3 linked regions of the Neodiprion lecontei genome follow. The protein of the gene in region 2 purifies or fractionates together with the protein of the main gene of each other region. This does not show direct contact. Links are inferred from orthologs where the notes say so. Each region holds a gene or a part of one and is shown on either strand. Other genes may lie near its edges. The genes, in order: cleavage and polyadenylation specificity factor 73, symplekin and uncharacterized protein LOC107221552.

Region 1 (6,935 bases), on a different chromosome or scaffold from region 2:
CATAAAGGGTCTATTATTTACTATTATTAAGATTGAATTAATATTAACTATTACATTTAATAGTTATAAATCTTAGTTGTTATTCTTCTATATTTATATATTTTGCAATCATTAAGGTGATTTTTATTGGTAGTTTTTTAATACCAAGACTGATCGATGTTGGTGCTCCATATTACTCCTAAATATCAGCGGTTCTTCTTCATTAAATCGAAAGTTACTTCACCCCACGTAGATTTCAGTCAGTTGAAAATCAAAGCAAATCTAGATTTTTTTACGATACTGCTTCGCATCAGACTATTGATTGAAGTCAGTGATTCGTTCAATGTCCAAACTAGTAGTTAAGTTTTATATTTTAAAGAATGAATAACGAGAAATGGTTTAAGTGCGTCATTTTGATCTCTATTAAAGATAAGAATTAATTTCTCAAGGTGCATCTGACCTAGAATGATTGGCGTTTGCACTAACGCTAACAAGCAATCTACTACAAATGGTTGAAAAATTCACAGGAGTAATATGGAGGTAATTTCCGTACTGCCTGGGTTATATGTTGACTGTACTTTTGAAGATGAGTCTTCTTAGCGTGATTGGTGTAATTAAATTACATAAAATAAGCCCCATGTCATTACAGAGCTTCAATCAAGCACTTGCAATAATTCTTCTCAATTACTATGACAATTGGTCGAGATTTTTAGTAAACACGTCAATAAATATATCTGTTCAAAATAGAAGAGAGAGAATATTTTGATAAATATAATTGGTTGCATCTCGGTTATACCTTGGTTTGTAAATGATGTCCTGGATTTTAATCAAGCTTATTTTTGAAGGGGTCTGTATATCTGCAATCCCCGTATTTTAACAATAAATAAGACAAGCGTGTATGTATATTTGATCTTTATTGTGTAACTTATACATCATGGCACCATGGCCAGAGTTTTTACACAACCCACCTAGAGCCAACATCGTAGTCATCCAAATGTGCAATTGTGTAGCTAAGCAGCATGCGCGTTAGATTAGACGCAGTACTGTATATAATGTAAATATGTACATCAATTATATTTTATAATAGGGCCAATCAATCACCCGGCAATTGAATATTGTATGAAACTTGATTCATGCTATACGAAGATACAGATAGGATAATTATTATCATTAAACAATTAATAAATCAACATGTGTACACCTTAATAAAAGTTATGTATTGAGGTACGTTTCTTTGTAAATAAGTTTCTTCTAACGTTGATCTATTCATATATAGTGTTTGATCACCATGTTTTCATATCCTGAAAATATCAAGGATGAACATCAAACTATTTACTAAATTGAAACATTCTGCAAATTATCCCGAATGACGGTAAAAATAGTACAAGTATATATATTTTACATTTTATAAACGATTTAATTAAGTATAATACATGTTATTCTTATATCTGTTTCATCTCGGAACAGATATTTTTGCATTTAAATGCACTGTCAGATTCAAATTTGAACATATTTTCCAGCCTCGCCACTATAGCGCTCAGATCACAGGCGGCCATCTTGTGAAAATTGTGGAACAATTGCTGGCCCCTCGATTACCGACAGAAGACAGAAGGGAATGTGCGTCGAGAAGTCGGGCGCGTCAGAACATCCGCTCTGTAGTTCGCGTCGGTTCGCATCGCGATGCAGTTATCGTATATATTCGGCGCGATTGTTTTGTATATAATTATACTGTGCTCAGTGCCATAATTCATTTGTAAATGTTCTATTTATCTAACAACTTGCTCGTGTTAAGCGAAAGTAAATTATTTCTCAATAAATAAAAGTGTGATGTAAAGGTGCGTAGTTGACCAGTAATGAATCAGTACGACGAAATATAATTTTTCAAGTGCTAAACATTTGCCGATCGCAGTTTGTTTTATGCAGCTTCTTGGAAAAAAAAACGACACGTTATTTGCTCTGTAAAGTCTCCGTCGACATCTTTGTACCTTTTCTATTATTATACTTCGATATTTATGTATCGGATTTTATGTTAACTGTAACATTAACTTATTAATTACGTAGTATATCCGTAATCATCTAACTGCGATCAGCGATCAAAGTTCGATTTGAAATGATACGAACCTATGTTTACCCGGACGCATTCATGAATATCACGAGTTACTTATTCCAATGTTTTGTTGCTTTTGTATCCGGCTGATTCGCCTAAGTGAAACTCATATGAAAGATTTCCACTTATTGTTAAGGTGAGAAATTTTACTGTTATTTTTCATGCGTCAGTTTTTAGACGTTTATAAAATTGCTATTGTCAGTTATTCGAATTATCTTTCGGCTACGGGAAGTAAACTGATTTTCGGTCATCATTTTAATAATTATGTACGGAGATCGACGATAATGTAAGTGTTTGTGGTTCAAGCGATCGGAGTATATGGAAGTGAACTTTTAGCATCGCACAGGCGGTAACCGAATGGATGTACTCTATGGGTCAGCCAAAGTAAGTCTAGCACACAATTTATTATTTACAATTTTCTGGCTTACGACTCTAAATGACAGACCATGCATGCACAAATATTGTTGCGATGATTTTGCGTTGCCTTAACACCGCGTTTATATCGTCCATTTAGAAGAAATCAAATTTCGAATGGCTGTGAAAAATTGTGCGCCTGCTGATACGCAACCAAGTACAGACATGTATATATAAGTATATATATCATCCATAGAGATATATCGTCACCCGATACTCTACTTCATTGTCGATAGTAATCAAAATGGAAATAGCTTAATTAATGAAACCATAGACTTATATATAAAACAGACTGAGCATTAGGTCGGAGCGAGTGTCCCCTGAACCTCGATTCCCCCGTTTTTGGTGCTATCCTTGTCTTACATCCGCAGTTGATACTGCCATCTCTTTCTAGCGATCTCGGGGTGGGGATATGTAGGATGGCATACCTGCAACTGCCCCTCACTTGCCTTTCTCTTCCCCTCTAAGCGCTTGGCTCAGAAAACCCCATAAGAAAGAAAGAGACAGCATCAACAACGTTAGGCGTTCCAGGGGTCGAGGGAAATGGCCGGGGTGTTCAGTCTACCTTATAGGTATATAAGTCTATGAATGAAGCTTTGTGTTTATGTTATTGTGCCTTGTGTATGCCTACGCGTGTGTCACTGCGATGAACCAATTTGAACGCATTCATTCAATTGTTTCGTGCAAAACGTGAATTACGCAGATTTCTTGCGTTGCCGGTACCTAGTTTGCAAACTGTTTTAATTTCGCGATACACCGGACTGCTAGTTGGACTTGGACATGTCCATACCTTTAAACTTCAACGATACAAATCGATATAGCACGATATTTCAATGAATAATGATATCGAAGGAGTTATACTAGGTTGAGAGTTGTTTCTACACGTGAAGTCTGTTATTGATTAACAAGTGTATATTCGTACGTGTCTCGGGATAACACAACCTAAAAAATGTCATCTAAACGGAAGCCGGACACCCAAGTGCCGGCAGAAGAAAGCGATTTACTTTCGATTCGGCCGCTTGGTGCCGGACAAGAAGTTGGAAGATCTTGCATTATGCTGGAATTCAAAGGAAAAAAGATAATGCTGGACTGTGGAATACATCCAGGTCTCTCCGGCATGGATGCTCTTCCATTCGTTGACTTGGTAGAAGCCGATGAAATCGACCTGCTTCTGATATCTCATTTTCACCTCGATCACTGTGGAGCCTTACCTTGGTTTTTGCAAAAAACTAGTTTTAAGGGACGTTGTTTCATGACTCACGCGACAAAAGCTATATATCGCTGGTTGTTGTCCGATTACATAAAAGTCAGTAACATTGCCACGGAGCAGATGTTGTATACCGAGTCTGACCTAGAAACTAGTATGGATAAAATAGAGACGATAAATTTCCACGAGGAAAAAGATGTCTTCGGTATTAAATTTTGGGCATATAATGCTGGCCACGTTCTTGGCGCTGCTATGTTCATGATCGAAATTGCTGGTGTTAAAATACTGTACACAGGTGATTTTAGTCGGCAAGAAGACAGGCATTTGATGGCTGCCGAAATACCAAACATTCATCCTGACGTTTTGATAACTGAATCCACCTACGGAACTCACATTCATGAGAAGCGGGAAGATCGAGAAGGAAGATTTACTAATTTGGTACACGAAATTGTGAACAGAGGCGGAAGATGCTTGATTCCTGTATTTGCCCTGGGACGAGCACAAGAGCTACTGCTAATCCTGGATGAATACTGGAGCCAACACCCCGAGTTGCATGAAATTCCCATTTATTATGCTTCGTCTTTGGCCAAAAAATGTATGGCAGTTTATCAAACTTACGTTAACGCGATGAACGATAAAATACGGAGACAGATAGCAATTAACAACCCTTTTGTATTCAAGCACATATCAAACTTGAAAGGGATCGATCATTTCGAAGACATAGGACCTTGTGTCGTTATGGCATCTCCTGGTATGATGCAGAGTGGCTTGTCCAGAGAATTATTTGAGTCTTGGTGCACTGATTCGAAGAATGGAGTAATAATCGCCGGTTACTGCGTAGAGGGGACTCTGGCCAAAACAATCCTCTCCGAACCCGAAGAAATTACAACCATGTCTGGTCAAAAATTGCCTTTGAAAATGTCAGTGGATTATATATCATTCTCAGCCCATACCGACTATCAACAGACGTCAGAGTTTATTAGGATTTTGAAACCACCACATGTTGTATTGGTTCATGGGGAACAAAATGAAATGGGCAGATTAAAAGCTGCTCTACAAAGGGAATACGAGGACGATCCACACACCATAATGGAGATACACAATCCTAGGAATACAGTGGCAGTAGAGCTGTATTTTCGTGGTGAAAAAACAGCAAAAGTTATGGGAACTTTAGCTATGGAAACTCCAAAACCTGGACAGAAGTTATCAGGTGTTCTGGTGAAAAGAAACTTCAATTACCACGTACTGGCGCCTTGCGATTTATCGAAGTATACCGATATGAGCATGAGCCAGGTGGTTCAAAGACAAAGCGTACATTTTTCTACATCGTTACCGGTATTGAAACATTTGCTAACGCAAATTGCTGGAAGCATAGAAAATATCGATGATAAAAAGATGAGAGTATTCAAAAATGTTGATGTTATTGTAGAAGGAAAAGTTGTCACAATGGAATGGATAGCGACTCCTGTAAACGACATGTATGCAGATTCAGTTTTGACTGCAATATTGCAAGCTGAAATGATGGAACAACCGCCGAAAACACTCCCTGCACCAACGAAAATGGACCGAATGCATTTCAAGGAATGTCTGATAGAAATGCTTCAAGAAATGTTTGGTGAAGATTCGGTACCCAAAATTTTCAAAGGCGAAAAACTATATGTTACAGTTGATGGTAAAAAGGCTCACATAGATTTGTTAAATTTAGAAGTAACAAGCACGGAGGATGAAACCTTTCAACAAATAGTCCAGACTGCCGTTTCCAAGTTACATCAGTCATTGGCTCCGCCATGCGATACTTTATAAATTTTTACATTTACAACCTTGTAAATCTAATTCATTAAATATTCCATATCGGATCGATATTTTCAACATGCAATTTGTACTTCTCTTTTCCTAAACCAATAGATTTAAATTATGATACATAGCTAATAATTTTAATTGTGTATATTTTTCTACAAATTCAGCAATACAAGTTGATTCGGTGATAGCAGCAATATGAAGATTAGTAAATGCTGCATTAAATATAATTGTTATTAACAATAGTTGTATAAAAATGAACAATTCAATTTTTATCATGATTTTTTCTGTGTACAAAAATTGATCCATCTATATCGCAATGACACGAATTTTGCATGTAAACTTACCACTATTATTCAATGTTTTAATTCTACACAATTTATGAGATCTATTACACTTAAATAACCTATTTCAGAAGTTTGAGAACTTGACATAAATAATATTTACAATTAGTGGATCTTATAAAAGTTGTGATCATTTATAAAATATTCGTAATTAAATTCTTAACATATAAAAATTCGCAAAAGCGAAAAATATATAAATTAAAATAAATAACGTCTTTCAACAATTAAAAAATACATTCAGATGATTCTATGGGCTTCTGAACAGTGTATTCTGTTAGACTGCCCCACGTCGGACCAACTCTGATTTTAACAGGCAATGGAATTGTTAGCTGATATGCTTCTTCCATTGAAATTTTAACTATTGCTGCAACACGATCAAGATCTGCGGCATTCACCTGTAAGAGTATCATGATTATTTACCCATTTTGATTTTATTCTTGTGCAACAATTCATCCTCATGCAGAGAATTGTAACGGAAAAAATGACTAGTATAACTGACCTCGTATAGGAGTTCGTCGTGTAGTTGCAGAACTAAGTAGGCCCCTCTATTCTGCGAATCTTTGCTGCTCCTTAGTTTTCTAGTTTTCATTTCTGAAATGACTCTAGATGTATCTGAATACTCTTTCTGCAGTCTTTCATCTATTAGAACCATAGCTTTTTTAGCCAAGTCCGCTGCTGAACCTTGAATTTTTGTATTCACTGCTTGTCTCTCTGCTTGAGCTATAGTAAATAAACGTTCGCAGTAAATTGGAAAAAAACTCGCAGCAGAGAAAATTTGTCGCTACTCACATCTTTCACTTTTTATCTCACTATTTAGACTCGGAAGTAATCTGCGCCTTTCCATTAGAGTCGTTACATATCCATTTTCTCGGCTTTCGGTTATCACCTGATTAAGCCAATTATTCACGTTTGGATAAGTTCCCATAAAACTTTCCATGAACCTGCTTGCTTCTAATTCAGTAACTGATAATTGCTTTGCCAAAGCCCTCGAACCCATGCCATAAATTATTCCATAACAAAGCTGTTTTGTGCGTTGACGCATATCATCATTTACCTGAACAAACAAAGCATACATTGATTACTATAA
Region 2 (7,074 bases):
TGTACCGATAGTCTGCCAACATTTACTAAAATAATACATACAATATCAGGGTTGGCGAGATACAACCGCAATACTGTATTCTGAGTAGGCAGACTACGATACAAAAACATTTTGCTCCCAACAGGTAACCAACGAAAATGTAAGTCAGTGACCACGGCGCAAATGATGAAGAATGATGTGTGTTGGAAAAAATGGAGAATCGTTTAGATCGAATATAGGTAACCGGGTAGGTAGGTGGACGTTTTGGGATCCGTCGCGGGGTTTATGCATGTGTGTGTGAGTCTCTCATTTCCGTTGGGAAACAGGCGAGGGTAGGAAGGTCGCGATGTGCCGTGATGTTACTAACTTTTGTAATCCACAGCGTCAAACGATCACAGAAATTTATTTCCCAAACGATTCCGTATTCAAGCCTCTCGACCATTTGTAAGCATTTGAGTATCAAAGAGATTGAATTTCCCGTTTCTTGTCACTCTGCAACCATTTTTCAATCGTTATTCAATTTAATTATTCAGTCATTAGCGATCATCATTCCATTGAATTGATCTCTGTGATCGTCTGAATGGGCAAAACGCATCTCTGGACCATCTATCGCGTTCCGTGGTACGCTAGATGGGGAGAGATGCTGAGCTCGAAGACTTCGCGTCGAAGAGGACCGCCGACCGTCACGCCACACAATAATGCATGCTCTCCAACCTCCCTCCTCATTTCAATTCGATTTGCAATCTGAGAAGAACAATCCGCATAGCAATGTATCTAATTCAGAAAGATGCAGATGTGGATTGGGTTTCTACAGAATCTTTGGGACAAGTCCCAGATAAACAAACTTTTTGACAGTTTAATCTGTCGCGCCTTTTTGCGCGTAGGTTAATCACGAGAATTGGACGCAGCTTTGAGCGCGTAAATTAATAACGGGAATCAGACACTTTTTTTGTGCGTCGATTCTGCAAACAATATACAAAAGAGTTACGCACTTTCGATGTGCTGACTTTTCAGCTCTTCGTTCAATTTTCTAACGAATATCAAAGTTTTCACGTTCTATGGCGCCTTTTGCGCGTGGACTTGATACCCTTCAGTTATAAGAGAAAACACGGCATTTGGAATCCGCCAATTTTTCAACAAATGCACTGAGAAGTACAGAATCTTTGGTCGAAAATGATGTTCACTTTAATAACTCAAAGCAGAAATAGATGTAGGTTCAAAAAATTTAGAATGTTTTTTATTATAAATACAATTAATAATCGAAGCAACGAATATTAAAATGAATATCATGTTGGACTCGACCCATTTTCTGACAATGTATGCACTTATGTGATCATGCTAACTACACCTTTGTCTGTTTCTGTTATTAAAACCTCTGTCTGTATCAGCTAACCAAACTTTTTGTGTGTTCCAGCTAATCAAACCTTTTGTCTGTTTCAGCTGATCAACCTTCTGTCTCTTTCAGCTAATCAAACTTTTTGTCTGTTTCAGCTAATCTAACCTCTTGCCTGTTTCAGCTAATCAAATCTGCAGTCTGTTTCAACTAATTAAATTGTATATTTTAACGTTAATTATATTTTTTACTTATCTAAGCTAAGTATAATTTTGACCATATCGATATATGTTAGTAATTATATTTGCATCTGTTCCAGGTAACTGAGTTTCAACATTACACTTTTTAGGCTTACGTCTGGCTTAGGTCTGGTTCAGAGTCAGTCATCTTGGTTTCACCGATACATAGATTTTCAACGATGTAGTTCAGAATCATAATGATCACAACGTATAGTAAAATTTATTCAGCCGTATTTTATTTAATGGTTTTACAGTCTTTTATTGCGATCATTTTAGTGACAGTTTTTTTTCTCAACTCGCTCATAGGTCATGTTTGGTTTGTATTTCACTGTAGAGTTATACAGCTCTAGTATTTTGGTTGTTGTGCTACTATTCTCCGTGGAGTAGGCCTACTGAGGAAACTACGTAAAAAAAACGCTCCGGGTGCTTTACCGCTTGCGGTGGTGAGGAAACGAGCATAAGTGAACTTATTTTCAAAGGTCAAATACTAATAAATTGTAGCTTTTCAAATGACAATTTTATTCTAACGTAAATTTAACTCATTGTCAATAAAACTCATGCTTCGATAGTGTGTAACTCATGTGGAATCGTAATACTTTAGGATTTCTCTAGTTTACTCAGAGTAAATTCCATGTGAATACATTTTACTTTTTGATGAATTTAATTTCTTAATACAAGTCAACAAGGTGCACATACCTTTGACAATTAAGAGTTTGGAAATTTCAACATCTTTCTCCCTTGCTTGACCTTTCGCAGTCGACACTACGGAAAAGTGTCGAAATTCCGGATGAAATAGTATCGACTTTTTCGGAAATAAATATTCTCAAACTCGAAAATCCTAATAATCAACACGGGCACTGCCATAAATATATAATAAAGTGGACAGATATACGTAATTATAATCTGGGCCACTTGATAATAAATTTCTGAACAATCTAGTTTGTGGGTCAGCGGACGGAATGACAATACAACCAGCTAATATGAGTAGAAGTTGAAGAAAGGAACCTTGATCATCTTTATATATTTTATTTAATACTTTTGTGATAATGATTTTCTGACTTTCATCGGGGTTGTTAAAGCATGGACTCATACATTAGTAACAATCTAGTCTTACTTAAATTCTGAAAAATATTTTCAAGTAGTACTTTTGCATAGAAAGGTCTAGGATTTCCGCTGCAAATAAACTGTATTTTTTAAAAACCACGAAATGTAACGTCAGTTAAGGAATTATTTTTACATGTCAGCTGCATCATTCTTTCGGAATGAAGATATGAGCGGTGCCTGAAGATAGATATTATTATCCTCAGTTAACGCTACAAGTCTAGTATTAAACATATGTACACAAATTACATAAGGTAGATGTAGGAACAACTGTATATCTTGATCCGTTGATTCACTTCTTCGGGTCTTCGACTATGTCTCCCATCCTTTGCATCAAGAAAAGGTTTCTAACTCTGTTAACAGTAAACCGGGTGCATGTTTATTGTGCGTCTATTTAGATAACATTATTTTTATCGAACCGATGGAGTTAGATTGACATTGCTGAATTGGGTCCAAATGAATTTGCGTAGTTGAAAAGTAAACGACGTCCATATGAGGTTTTATGAAAATTACAGTCTGTTCCCGTTCGTCGTTTCAAAGGCATAATAATATTCGACTCTGCATTATCTGGGCACACGCGGTGCACGATGGTAACATCAGTTCCTGTCGTCCTTATGTACCGACCGCTTGCCGGATTGAGTTGCGATTCCAAGGTAGGACTTGTATATCTTCAATCACGTTTCATTGTTCATGGCGTGAAAAGATTGCCAATATTGTAATTGGCCAATATGGCGTAGACGGACTGTTAGACGGAACTCAATAGCACCATAAATTGCTAAATAGCATATTAAAAAATCGCGTTACATTATATTTGCATTAAGATCACTTTGCAGACAAAATTACCGAATCAAATGGGAATATTTATTCTTACTCATTAACGTACAAAATCATATTTATTCTAGGATTCAAAAATCATGTACCCAACTATTACAAGTTTTTGACGTATCGGAGACTCAGCGAATTGTACATAAACGAAACATAATCAAACATATGTAGGATACACCCGCATATATTACATTTTATTATCGTCGCCAATTTTTCGCATTCAATCAGCAAGTCATCGCGTCCCATAAACTTGTCAATTCGCAAATACAATGGACCCACGCTTACACAGAAGACAAGAGTCTGAAAAAAAGGGCTCGAGCGACTTGGTCAGTGACATAACCTAAATTTTGACACGATACAAGTAAACAAACAAAAAAAAAGAACCTAGAAAAGAACACAAATATTTTAGTACTTCGAAGTATTATCACTCGCTTATTTATCAGTTCCACTAATAATGCATTTAGTTACTTACATCTGATTCTTCCATTACCTCTAAACGCGACGCTACTCTTGCAACGCGTTTCGAGGTAATCGCGGAATCGGATATAAATACCGAGCGCAGCTTAAATAGTCTATACATGAATGATTCTAAAATTTATTCAAAAGGTTCCTGTAATGACAATGCGAAAAAAGCATGTAAAAGAAAGTCGAAAAAAAAAAAAAATGGAATACATGTACTAATTTGTAATTACTACAATCTTGCAGGTCGTAGAATGGCTTAATGATGCTTCTATGAGCACAAGCGAATCCGTAAAATTAACCAATTTGGCCAAAGTTAATGAGTTTTTGATACACAAGGAACCAAAGTTGCTGGATCTATACTTGGACGAAACGTTGCAATTCTCTTTAGATAGGAGTAGCGAAGTTCGAAAACTTATCGCAGGATTTTTGGAAGAAGCTGGGTATTTGCAACTCACCTTTTATTATCATTCATAAGTCAGGATTTTAGTCTATTCGAGTTTTTAAACTCTATTGGAATACTCAGTGATTGTCTCAATGAAAAGAATGAGTACTAATACCAGACTTTATAATAGATTGTTCATTACAATTATCCTTTGCTTATTAATTATGCATTGATTGTTATCTTTACATGAGGAAGCCTAGAATTTACAATTAAAGCTTCAATTTCTGCTGCTGTTACCTTAAACTGGCTGAAACATATAAGAATTAAATTTACAAAAATATTTTTTAACCGTGCTTTGACCATCGTAGGTGTAAACAACCTGACCTGATTCCTCGATTAGTCCAAACACTTGCAAGATTAGTTGGAGATGATGCATCAGCTGTGATCAAACGGGCGCTTAGAGCAGCGGGAAGAATTCTTAGGGCAACATTGAAATGGATATCAAGTGTTGCGATTATTACAACAGACATGGAACTCGCTTGGACACAGCTGAGCAATCTGAAGGTTGCGATAATAAATATGATCGACAGTGACAATGATGGGTAAACAGAAACAAAAATTTTTCTTATTTTATTTTCCATATCTTATGTTCATTAGATGCTGCCAAAGAATATATGCTGATAAAAATTGTAAAACATGAGGCTGCACATGTCTTTTAGGTATTCTGTTTTTTCTTTCATCATTTTACCCTGACTATTTTGGTTACAGAATCAGGACGCAGGCAGTAAAGTTCCTGGAAGGAGTCGTTTTGCTGCAAACATATCCAGATCCTGACGCTCCAAAAAAGCCGGATGACTTCTCCTTAGAAGATATTCCATTAACACTAAAAATAGCTCGGAGAAGAAAACTTGAGGAGGAGGCAAACCATGTTATGGATTTGTTGATTAAATTTCATGGTTCTCCACACGTTAGTAGCGTCAATTTGATGACTTGTATGGGGTCCTTGGCATTGATTGCTAAAACTAGGCCTCAGTTTATGCGTCAAGTAATTCAGGGTAGGTATTTTTTCAGTATGTAGTTTCCTGCTCTCAGTTTGGCTGCAGTATTGTAGTGATAGCAGAGCTTGAAAATTCGAGAATTTTTAGCAAAGTTATTCACACCTTAGGCATTTCTATATTGAAACTTTGAAACAACTCTGATGCTCAAAAATGGTTAAGAACAATACTTAATAGATGAATAATTTTTGGTACCCAGCCTTACAACTCCTACAACATGATCTACCACCAACGCTGTCCGATTCACAAGTAACGAGTGTCCAGAAGCAACTTAAGCTCACGCTATTGGGATTGCTAAAACACCCTGCAAGCATAGAGTTCGCAGGAACGATGGCAAGACAATTGAACCAGCTCGGGGCAAGAGAGCAAGAAATCATGAAGGCCTATCCAAAAGTCGAGGATATTCGTAAGATGAAAAAACGGCAACAGGTAATTGCAATTGGAACTGAGCCTCATCTTACTTAAAAATATTCTGTTTACAAAGAATCAAATGATATTTCTCAAATCTGCAGGAAACAGCGGCAGCATCTGCAGCCAAACGTGCGAAATTGGAGGCTGCAATTGCAGTTGAAGAGCCTGAGCAGCAACCGATGGAAATTGAATCCGTGAAGCCTCCTGAATTGATTGAGCTTTCCGAAAATTTTATCAGTGACCGTCTAAGTGTGGAAATTGCCACAGAACTAGTTATGGATAGTATGGTATGTTAGAATAAGTTGAATAAATTTCGTGCGGTCTAAAAATGAAATTGCAAATGAAAATTATTTTAAAGAAATTTCGATAGGATTCATTGTATGAACTCGTACAACTAATCTATTTTATGCAAAATAATAATTCTATGCAATTTGCAGGCTTGGGTGCCAGATGTAATGACGTCAGTGTTCCAACGAGAATATCAGCCGACATCCACAACTGATATAAACGTGCAACGTCAAACTATCGCCAGGCTACTAGCCGTACAGATAAAGCAAGCTAAGGCCAAAAGGGTTAAGAGAGAAACGAAAGAGGAAGATGCGGTAATGGAGGACCTAATAAAAAATCCAACAATCACTGTAGCCGAGGCAAAACGTGAAAGAAAACGAGAAAAGGACAGGGAGAAAGAGAAAGAAGCTAAGGCTTCATTGGAGGCACACGAAAAGTCGCTTAAAATGGCGAAAAATCGTTTGAAAACGCTGAAGCTATCCGAAATTACAAAACCTCTTCAAAGAGAGACTAAAGAGAAAATGCTCCTTATGGCTGTAGGCAGAATTCTCGGAGCTGAGAGGATCGCTGTACTCGGTGGAGTGGCACCAGTCAGGTGAGTAATGAATTATAAGAAATTGTAGTCGGTTTTTGGGAAAAGTGTTTGAAAATGCGTATTGAAAAAATTAGCGAACCAATTAAAGTTATTGTTCATGTATTTTCGCGTGTTAGGTCCAAGATATTGACGACCCTAGCTGCTACGTTCAACCCATACATAAGGGAAGCTGTGCTCCGCTATATAACTGAGGACATGAGGTGTCGGCTTGATTTGGCCCTCGGCTGGCTCTATGAGGAGTACGCTTTGCTTCAGGGATTCCAAAGGCGTACAACACTGACGAGTAAACCGCAGGAAGCTCCTCATCAAGCCTACAACTTTTTACTCTGCACTTTAGTTTCTGCAATCGACTTGGTACCAGGGAAAGATCGCGATGTGTTGTTGTCGCGGTAATTAATGCAGAA
Region 3 (6,975 bases), on a different chromosome or scaffold from region 2:
TTTCTAATAAAAGGATCAACTAGATGTAAATATTGTAAATAAACAAAAAGCCATCTCCGACAGTCATATCTGGCACTCAAAATACACTCTGCAGTTTATGAGCAATAACTGAGCTCAATTTGCACACGTACACAATGTGTTTTCGATGCCACATGACCACCGGAGAATGTACGAAAATTAGGTTTATTTTTTCTCAAATTTAACGTTTATTTCATAAAAAAAAACGATTAATGTGTACAGAATGTTCCTTCATTATTTTATTAATAAATTTTTTTTTCCAAATTTGTCTTTATTTAAGATAATCAGTTTTCTGAAGGACAAGAGCAACACAAAACAAAGGAAGATATATAATGATCATTCTTTATTAATGCAAATATATATGTGATAATATAGTGAAGTATTTATTCATTTATATTGATATTTTTGGATGATGTGAAGGGAGCTAGGATATTTTTCTTTATTATATATTCGATGGGAATCTCGACTGGGTGCTGCTGTATTTTTTCTTTAGTTTTATTATTATCAATATTACCATCTTCTCTTTATTCTACGATACATCTTTGCCCAATATCCTATCCTGTATACAAACTTTATTCCTGACAGCCATAAGGTCCCAATTGCGCTTCTACTTAAATTTCTTCCCGCAATTACACACCGGCATTGAAATATTACAAGACTTTGAAGTAAATGAACATAATTACAGGGATAGACTGGGAATAAAGAAATACGTTTGCAAGATAAAGGAAGCTCGTTTGCGTAAACCTATTTGAACTCTTGAGTGGAAATTTGACCACAAAATTATAGTGTGTAATTAATGTAAAACATCGGTAACTGTTCAGTATATGCAAAACTTCTGAGCCTGAGATAAAAATGGTTGAATATGGTCCATTGCATGCAAAGATAAGATCCCGATGGCTCTCAGAACAGGTAACTATACTGTAAAATCGAGGATCCATTGAACCTATCTATTCAATACATGCTGCGATTTCACCTGTGTTTCGCGTACTGCCCAATAATCTTTTCAAAGCACTACCTACTAGTATGTAACGCAAAATTAATTATACGAACAGATTCAAAGAATTTTTTTTGTAAATCAATCCCTGACCCTGATAAATGTCTCGTTCCTCACAAAGTCATGATTGATACGATTGTTTATTATTCGTAATACTTGGAAGATTCGAATGACGTTTTGAGTTTCATACTGGCCAGATTTTAATATGCTACTGTCACCTCAGTTCAGCTTCGTAGGTGTAAAAAAAAAAAATTCAAAAACGGTTGTTTGTAATCATAAGATATAGCAATCTCGACGCACATACACAAACCAAAGTACTATATTTGATCTAGTTAACACCCTGATTGCCGATACACTGGATCTAAGGTACAAACAAACGGAGACAGCATTAAAAAAAAAATGCTGAATGCTCAGATCATTGATAAGAACAGACCACACTAAAGAAACAAGAAAAACACTTCACCTATGTACCCAAATGAGAAGGTGTAACTTGATCTCAAACGTTTTACTAAATGGAAAATACATCAAAATGAAACCCACGTCCTGTGTCCTGATTGCTACATAAGTTAATCGGCCGTGAAGGACAGTGTCACGATAGATGTAAGGACTAGAGTGGTAGATGCTATACCTGAGTCCTCTAATAGCCTCTTTGTGCGCCTGAAACATCTTGACGTTGTTCATGTTGCTCTGCCAGTACTTAACGTAGCCTGCGTGGTCGCCCGTCACCATCCAGCTTTCGTTGTGGGACCAAACCATTGTACGTACAGGGCTGTCATGAGCCTAAGAAATGGAAGAATGAATGATTATTTTTTAACTGCCCTGTCGGGACATTTTACAAGGTTATTCCATCACATTAGGTTCATTTTTGACTAATTCGACACTCAAGAGGAGATGCTAATATTAAACCATATTTTGCAAATTTTCAATTAGCCACACCAAGTTAGAGATGTGTTGCTTATCTTTGCTTACTGACAGTTTGTTTATTTGACATTTTAAATTCAATTTTCTGAGAATCGTGATATTTGTTGACATGACAAGGAGAATGAAAAACCAAGCCAAGATTTTTTCATAAACGAAAATGACCTCTGAGAACTATATTTGTAACTCAGATACACATGGACATTGAATTAACGAATCTCATAATCTTTTACAGATAAAAAAAATAGCGATTTACGAGAATAGAGGCTGTAACAGATTCATAGAGCAAGAATATTAGGTCCATGTACTAATAGACTATCAAAAAAGTGGTAAATTTTCTTGATATATCCCCACCTGTAGAATAGTCTCAAAGTTAAAAGTAAGCCCATTCCATAATGTGAATTCGCCACTCGATGCACCAGTGACAAGCCTTCTTCCTTCGGGGGTCCAAGCCATGCAAAATATTGGACACCTCATTTTATTCGTTGCTGTTTTGACAAATTTTGTTGTCACTGCGTTGATTGGATTATCAACGTAGCTTGGTGGTGGCAGAAGGTCAGGATAATATATAACGTCAGGCTGAAGAGCTCTTCTGTCTCTGTAGTCTCGCTGCCAAACCCGATTCTGAGTAACAAAAAGATGGAAATTTAATCTACACCTACACGAAGAAGAAAGATGCTAGAGGTATTAGAAGCTTCAAAGGAGCAGCTGAACATTCTGACGAGATAAAAAAAATATGAAATTACAAACAGGAACCAAAGTAATTTGTTTATACGAGTAATTTATTACCTCCAAGGTTTTAATAATAGCAGCATTATAGTCGACCGTCTTTCGCATCACAGATTTCCTGAGTCTCTTTCCATCGAATTCATCTTGTAACGCATCTTGACCACCAGCTATAACTTTCGGGGCATGATAAGGTCGAAATGGTTTGAAAAAACCACGATTTCCATCTCTGTGAGTACCAAATCTGTGCTGATAACCTCCAGTCGTAGTATTTATAGTTGTTAAATTAGGAGGAGGTGCAGATAAATTCGGCGTTGCAATGGGTGGTGGAACCGACATGTTTGGTAAACTTATCACCGGGGGTGGATTGGCGAATTGAGCATTGACAGACATATTGATGGTTTGGAAAATGAAATAATTTAAATAAGTTTATCTAAAACCAAGGTCTCTTCTTCTTAGACTCAGATCCCGAGACATATTATAGAACAAAGTCACGAAATACATTTAACAGTAGTAACGCCATCCTTGCGATAATATCTGAAATAAAATTAAAAAAGTCATAGTTACAAAAATTGTAGGTTCTGCATCGTTGTGAATATCCGTAATTGATGATAAAAATTCGTAGTTGATAATGGATTGTAGAAGAGTGCTGACAAAGCAATAAAATAAGATGCAAGACATACTTTCACAGGAGCAAAACATTTCCTTTTTCATTTATTTTCAACTTCAAATAACAGAGTGAAATAACGAAATAACATGTGTTCAGTAATTGTAGAAACCCGTGTTGCAAACAGTGCCAGCACAGGTGCCTAACACTTGTATTTATGGTAAGAGAAAACTAGAAAGGAAAAAATACATTGGACAAGTGTTGGATATGTGAAAGAATGAGTAAATTGAAGAGGCGAGCGAAACAAACGTTTCGTCCCACAACGAAAATTTTGATGAAAGTGTATGTGCCAACTTTCGAAGCACTAGGGATATGATGACGCAAAAATTGTAGTGGGGATGTGTGGCATCGAATAACCATGTTTGAAGGTTAGTCGGTAATGGTGAAGTAAACTCGTGGCAGAGACGATTACTGTAGTGAATTTAATCGAAGTTTATGTCGGGTCATTGATATACATAATACGGTAAAATAGTGAGACCAACCTGCTGCAGTATCGTCACGATTATATTTGTCGAGGCCTACTCCCAGGTCACCACTTCGACGTACACAAAACACTTCAACGTTCTAAGGCCACAAATTACCAAACACTTTATTTACAATAATACTGCAAATATAGCGCCAAGCGAACACTCCCTGGACAAGCGTCATCAACTTTTTTGAAATCTCAACGCGTATAATACAGACTACGACCGACAGCTTGAGGGAATATTGTGCACGGACGCTAACGACTCCATGATAGGTATATGAAGACTGACGAAGACACTGCTGGACACTGCCTGCCACTTCCGGTTCGAAAATCCGGCGTTCCGCTCGGATACCTAATAATGTTGATTACTGCGACCTCTGTCATGTCAGAGCTGCGCACTGTAGCCGCAATGTATACGTGTTACGATGATGATTGGAACAATTAATACAGATCCTCATATACTTTCAGCGTCGATATCCAACAGGCGTTCGGACAGTTAGCATTATAATTTTCGTTGGCTAAAAACTAAAGCTATACGATATACAATATATCTTTCGGCAACGTAATTCTTGATTAACGCTCGGATTAACGGAAATGGCCGAGATTCGAGTTTTGTTCCACCGGTCCCGTTGTTCGCAATCGACGGATCGTTGGACGCCCAAAATCCGATTTCCGAATTTCATAAGTAAGTAAAATGTAGTCACGAAAACTATGAGCCGATCAACTGTCCAGAAATCGCTTGCTAATGTGTAAATGAGTTTGAAAGTATAACCAAATTTTTTTTTGTAAATCATATGCATCAGTCATTCGATTCATATGACGCGCCAAGAATGATGCTTTTTTGTTTTTCCAGCGACTTTTACGCCTCTATGGGCCGCCGGCGGAAGTGAAAAACAGTTGCGGCACGCTTCTTTCGCAAAGCAGAAACGTTCAACTGCATGTCGAAAAGGGCTTTTTGTGTTTTACAAAAATTGAGCGTTGGATAGATTGTCCTTGGTTTTAAAATAAGAAAGAAAAATGTCAGTTTGATGTGTGGTGCGAGGGGATTCACAACAGTATATACGCGATTCTTAAGACTCGCTGAAAACGCGACTAGTTGTATGTACCATGTAAAGGTGTAATGTGAAAGAGTCGCGTGCTGCAGTGTGCTGCTGGATAATTTTGATTATTATTTAGAAGAAACATGACAAAATTTTTGGCCTGTCTACAGTTATCTTTATTATACAGTTAATTCACCAGTTCCAAAAGTCGGATGAAAACTAACGAGAATCGTACGTTGACGAGTATAGTTGTTTACTTATTTTATACCCGTTTAATTTATCCATTATTCATGCCCAAACCTGCCTGTATTGCCATTGATTGATACGACTTTGCTGAAGAAATAATTCATACTCCCCTTTCGTGAAATTAGCACATGCATTATCACTAGCATTTTTGCCTATACTCGCGAAATGAAACATGCGTATGTAACGTACGCTATAATTGATCTGACCCAGTTCTACAGCTCAATGTTACTTGCCATGTCACTCTTCATAATTTATACTATACAAGACGACGAACAAACAAATTATTTTTTCCAACCCTGGCAAATTATTTCCCATTTTAACAGGGTTACAAACACCGATGTTGCCTGTTAATTAGGATAGCTTACTACGAAATGATTGAGGTATTTCAGTGCTGAAATTGCAAGGACGTATAAACGTGTGTCGAAACAATGTTTATACCGTTATTTCGCAATTTCTACTTAATGACGAAACACTCATAAGTCAAATACCATACTAATGACATGCCAAAATTTTGTGCACTGCATTAAGTTCATTCAATGTTGCACAGGGAACTTTAAACTGAGGACACTACGTTACAGTATCCATTTGAAACACAGAGTAGGTACAGGTAATGTAGTGTTTGACAGTGTTCGCTCTTTTAGTCTGCTGTCTGACAAATTTGATAAGCAAATATTGGTAAATCTTTCATCACTGTACATTCAAAAAGACCGCTCGTTCACTGAAAACATTAGATTCTTTGCTATGAATGCACATTACTTAGCTACACAAATTATTGTGAAATACAAATAACCAATGAGCTGTATATTGAAAAGGTGGAAATTTCCTCTCAAATCTTACGTATGATTGGTTGAATACATTTCCGCTTTGCATTAATGTACCTGTAAGAACTGTACGTAGTGTGAAGAAAAAACACTTGACACACGTTCGAAGTTCAAAGTCTAAATTTCTTCCAAATCTGTTATGTGAACTGCCGTGAGTTCTCTTTATGTATTCCATGAACCAAGAGTCCGTCAGAATGAGAAAAGCTCCCCAGTAATATTGAAACACAATTTAGAACTATATTTTGTGATAATGTACAGTATAACAATAGACAGAAACACCAACAAATATTTCCCACCCAAAATCACATTGAATACTTCAAAGCACGTGATGCGGTTTAAACATACAGATAGAAAAATTGCAATATCATAATTTTGTACAATTATGCCCTTGTATATATCTGCTTTGATTATTTCATAACTTCTTTAATTAATCATACATTTTATGTTTTATCCACAATTTAGCACCATGAGTGATATAAACTCTCCGCGACTGATTGCGACTGCAGTTGCTGCAGCGTTTGGCGTTATTGGGGCTGTGGGTCTGTTCGTGTACCAGAAAATAAGAGAACAACAACAGACCGAAAGAGTCAGACGAGATTTGGATAAAATGGGTGAAACTATGGCCGAACTACAAGCACAGTTGGATCTTTTGAGGTAGGCTCCTTTTAGTTGTAGATATTTCGATAATCACGTTATATCTAGCCCTCTGAAATACGTATAACTAATTTAACGTAACTAACAATAAAATTAAAAAAGTACAGATTGAAAGGTTATTGTCATTACCACTTGTATTTCATACTTGCCTAATTAGATTACAGCAAAATCAACGCAGGAATCGAGAAAGAATATCGCGACGAAAGCCGAATCTTAAAAATAGCAGCACTTATTCTGCAACAGATAATGACACTGACGTAGACGCCTTTTCAACAGCTGACACAGAGTTTGACGATGATGAATTCTTTGATTTCTCCGACATGGAGTCAGGCGATGGAGACAATGAAAGGTCTGTAAATTTAACAACCAAATAATGGATCGTAATCAAACTAATAACTCATATTCCATTTCAATACATAGAATAA

What was found.
Region 1: the proteins of symplekin (region 2) and cleavage and polyadenylation specificity factor 73 fractionate together in Homo sapiens (co-fractionation; 6 studies listed by BioGRID and IntAct, with this or other methods). This does not show direct contact. The link is inferred for Neodiprion lecontei from reciprocal best matches to the Homo sapiens genes SYMPK and CPSF3.
Region 3: the proteins of symplekin (region 2) and uncharacterized protein LOC107221552 purify together in Homo sapiens (affinity purification with mass spectrometry; 4 studies listed by BioGRID and IntAct, with this or other methods). This does not show direct contact. The link is inferred for Neodiprion lecontei from reciprocal best matches to the Homo sapiens genes SYMPK and WDR33.

The regions. Positions count from the first base shown.
Region 1 is NC_060260.1:5,310,655-5,317,589, forward strand, and holds cleavage and polyadenylation specificity factor 73, read left to right. Parts: upstream 1-2,974; 5' UTR 2,975-3,449; coding exon 3,450-5,510; 3' UTR 5,511-5,576; downstream 5,577-6,935. Other genes in the region: DNA polymerase theta, read right to left, coding at 6,073-6,243, 6,348-6,568, 6,638-6,902. UniProt on the Homo sapiens protein: Component of the cleavage and polyadenylation specificity factor (CPSF) complex that plays a key role in pre-mRNA 3'-end formation, recognizing the AAUAAA signal sequence and interacting with poly(A) polymerase and other factors to bring about cleavage and poly(A) addition.
Region 2 is NC_060261.1:29,145,719-29,152,792, forward strand, and holds the start of symplekin, read left to right. Parts: upstream 1-3,370; 5' UTR 3,371-3,746; coding exon 3,747-3,803; intron 3,804-4,182; coding exon 4,183-4,379; intron 4,380-4,689; coding exon 4,690-4,923; intron 4,924-5,089; coding exon 5,090-5,376; intron 5,377-5,575; coding exon 5,576-5,805; intron 5,806-5,888; coding exon 5,889-6,074; intron 6,075-6,224; coding exon 6,225-6,670; intron 6,671-6,786; coding exon 6,787-7,059; intron 7,060-7,074. UniProt on the Homo sapiens protein: Scaffold protein that functions as a component of a multimolecular complex involved in histone mRNA 3'-end processing. Specific component of the tight junction (TJ) plaque, but might not be an exclusively junctional component. May have a house-keeping rule.
Region 3 is NC_060263.1:39,488,102-39,495,076, forward strand, and holds the start of uncharacterized protein LOC107221552, read right to left. Parts: upstream 4,087-6,975; 5' UTR 3,806-4,086; intron 3,194-3,805; 5' UTR 3,050-3,193; coding exon 2,720-3,049; intron 2,555-2,719; coding exon 2,285-2,554; intron 1,793-2,284; coding exon 1,641-1,792; intron 1-1,640. Other genes in the region: regulator of microtubule dynamics protein 1, read left to right, coding at 6,061-6,107, 6,359-6,550, 6,708-6,899. UniProt on the Homo sapiens protein: Essential for both cleavage and polyadenylation of pre-mRNA 3' ends.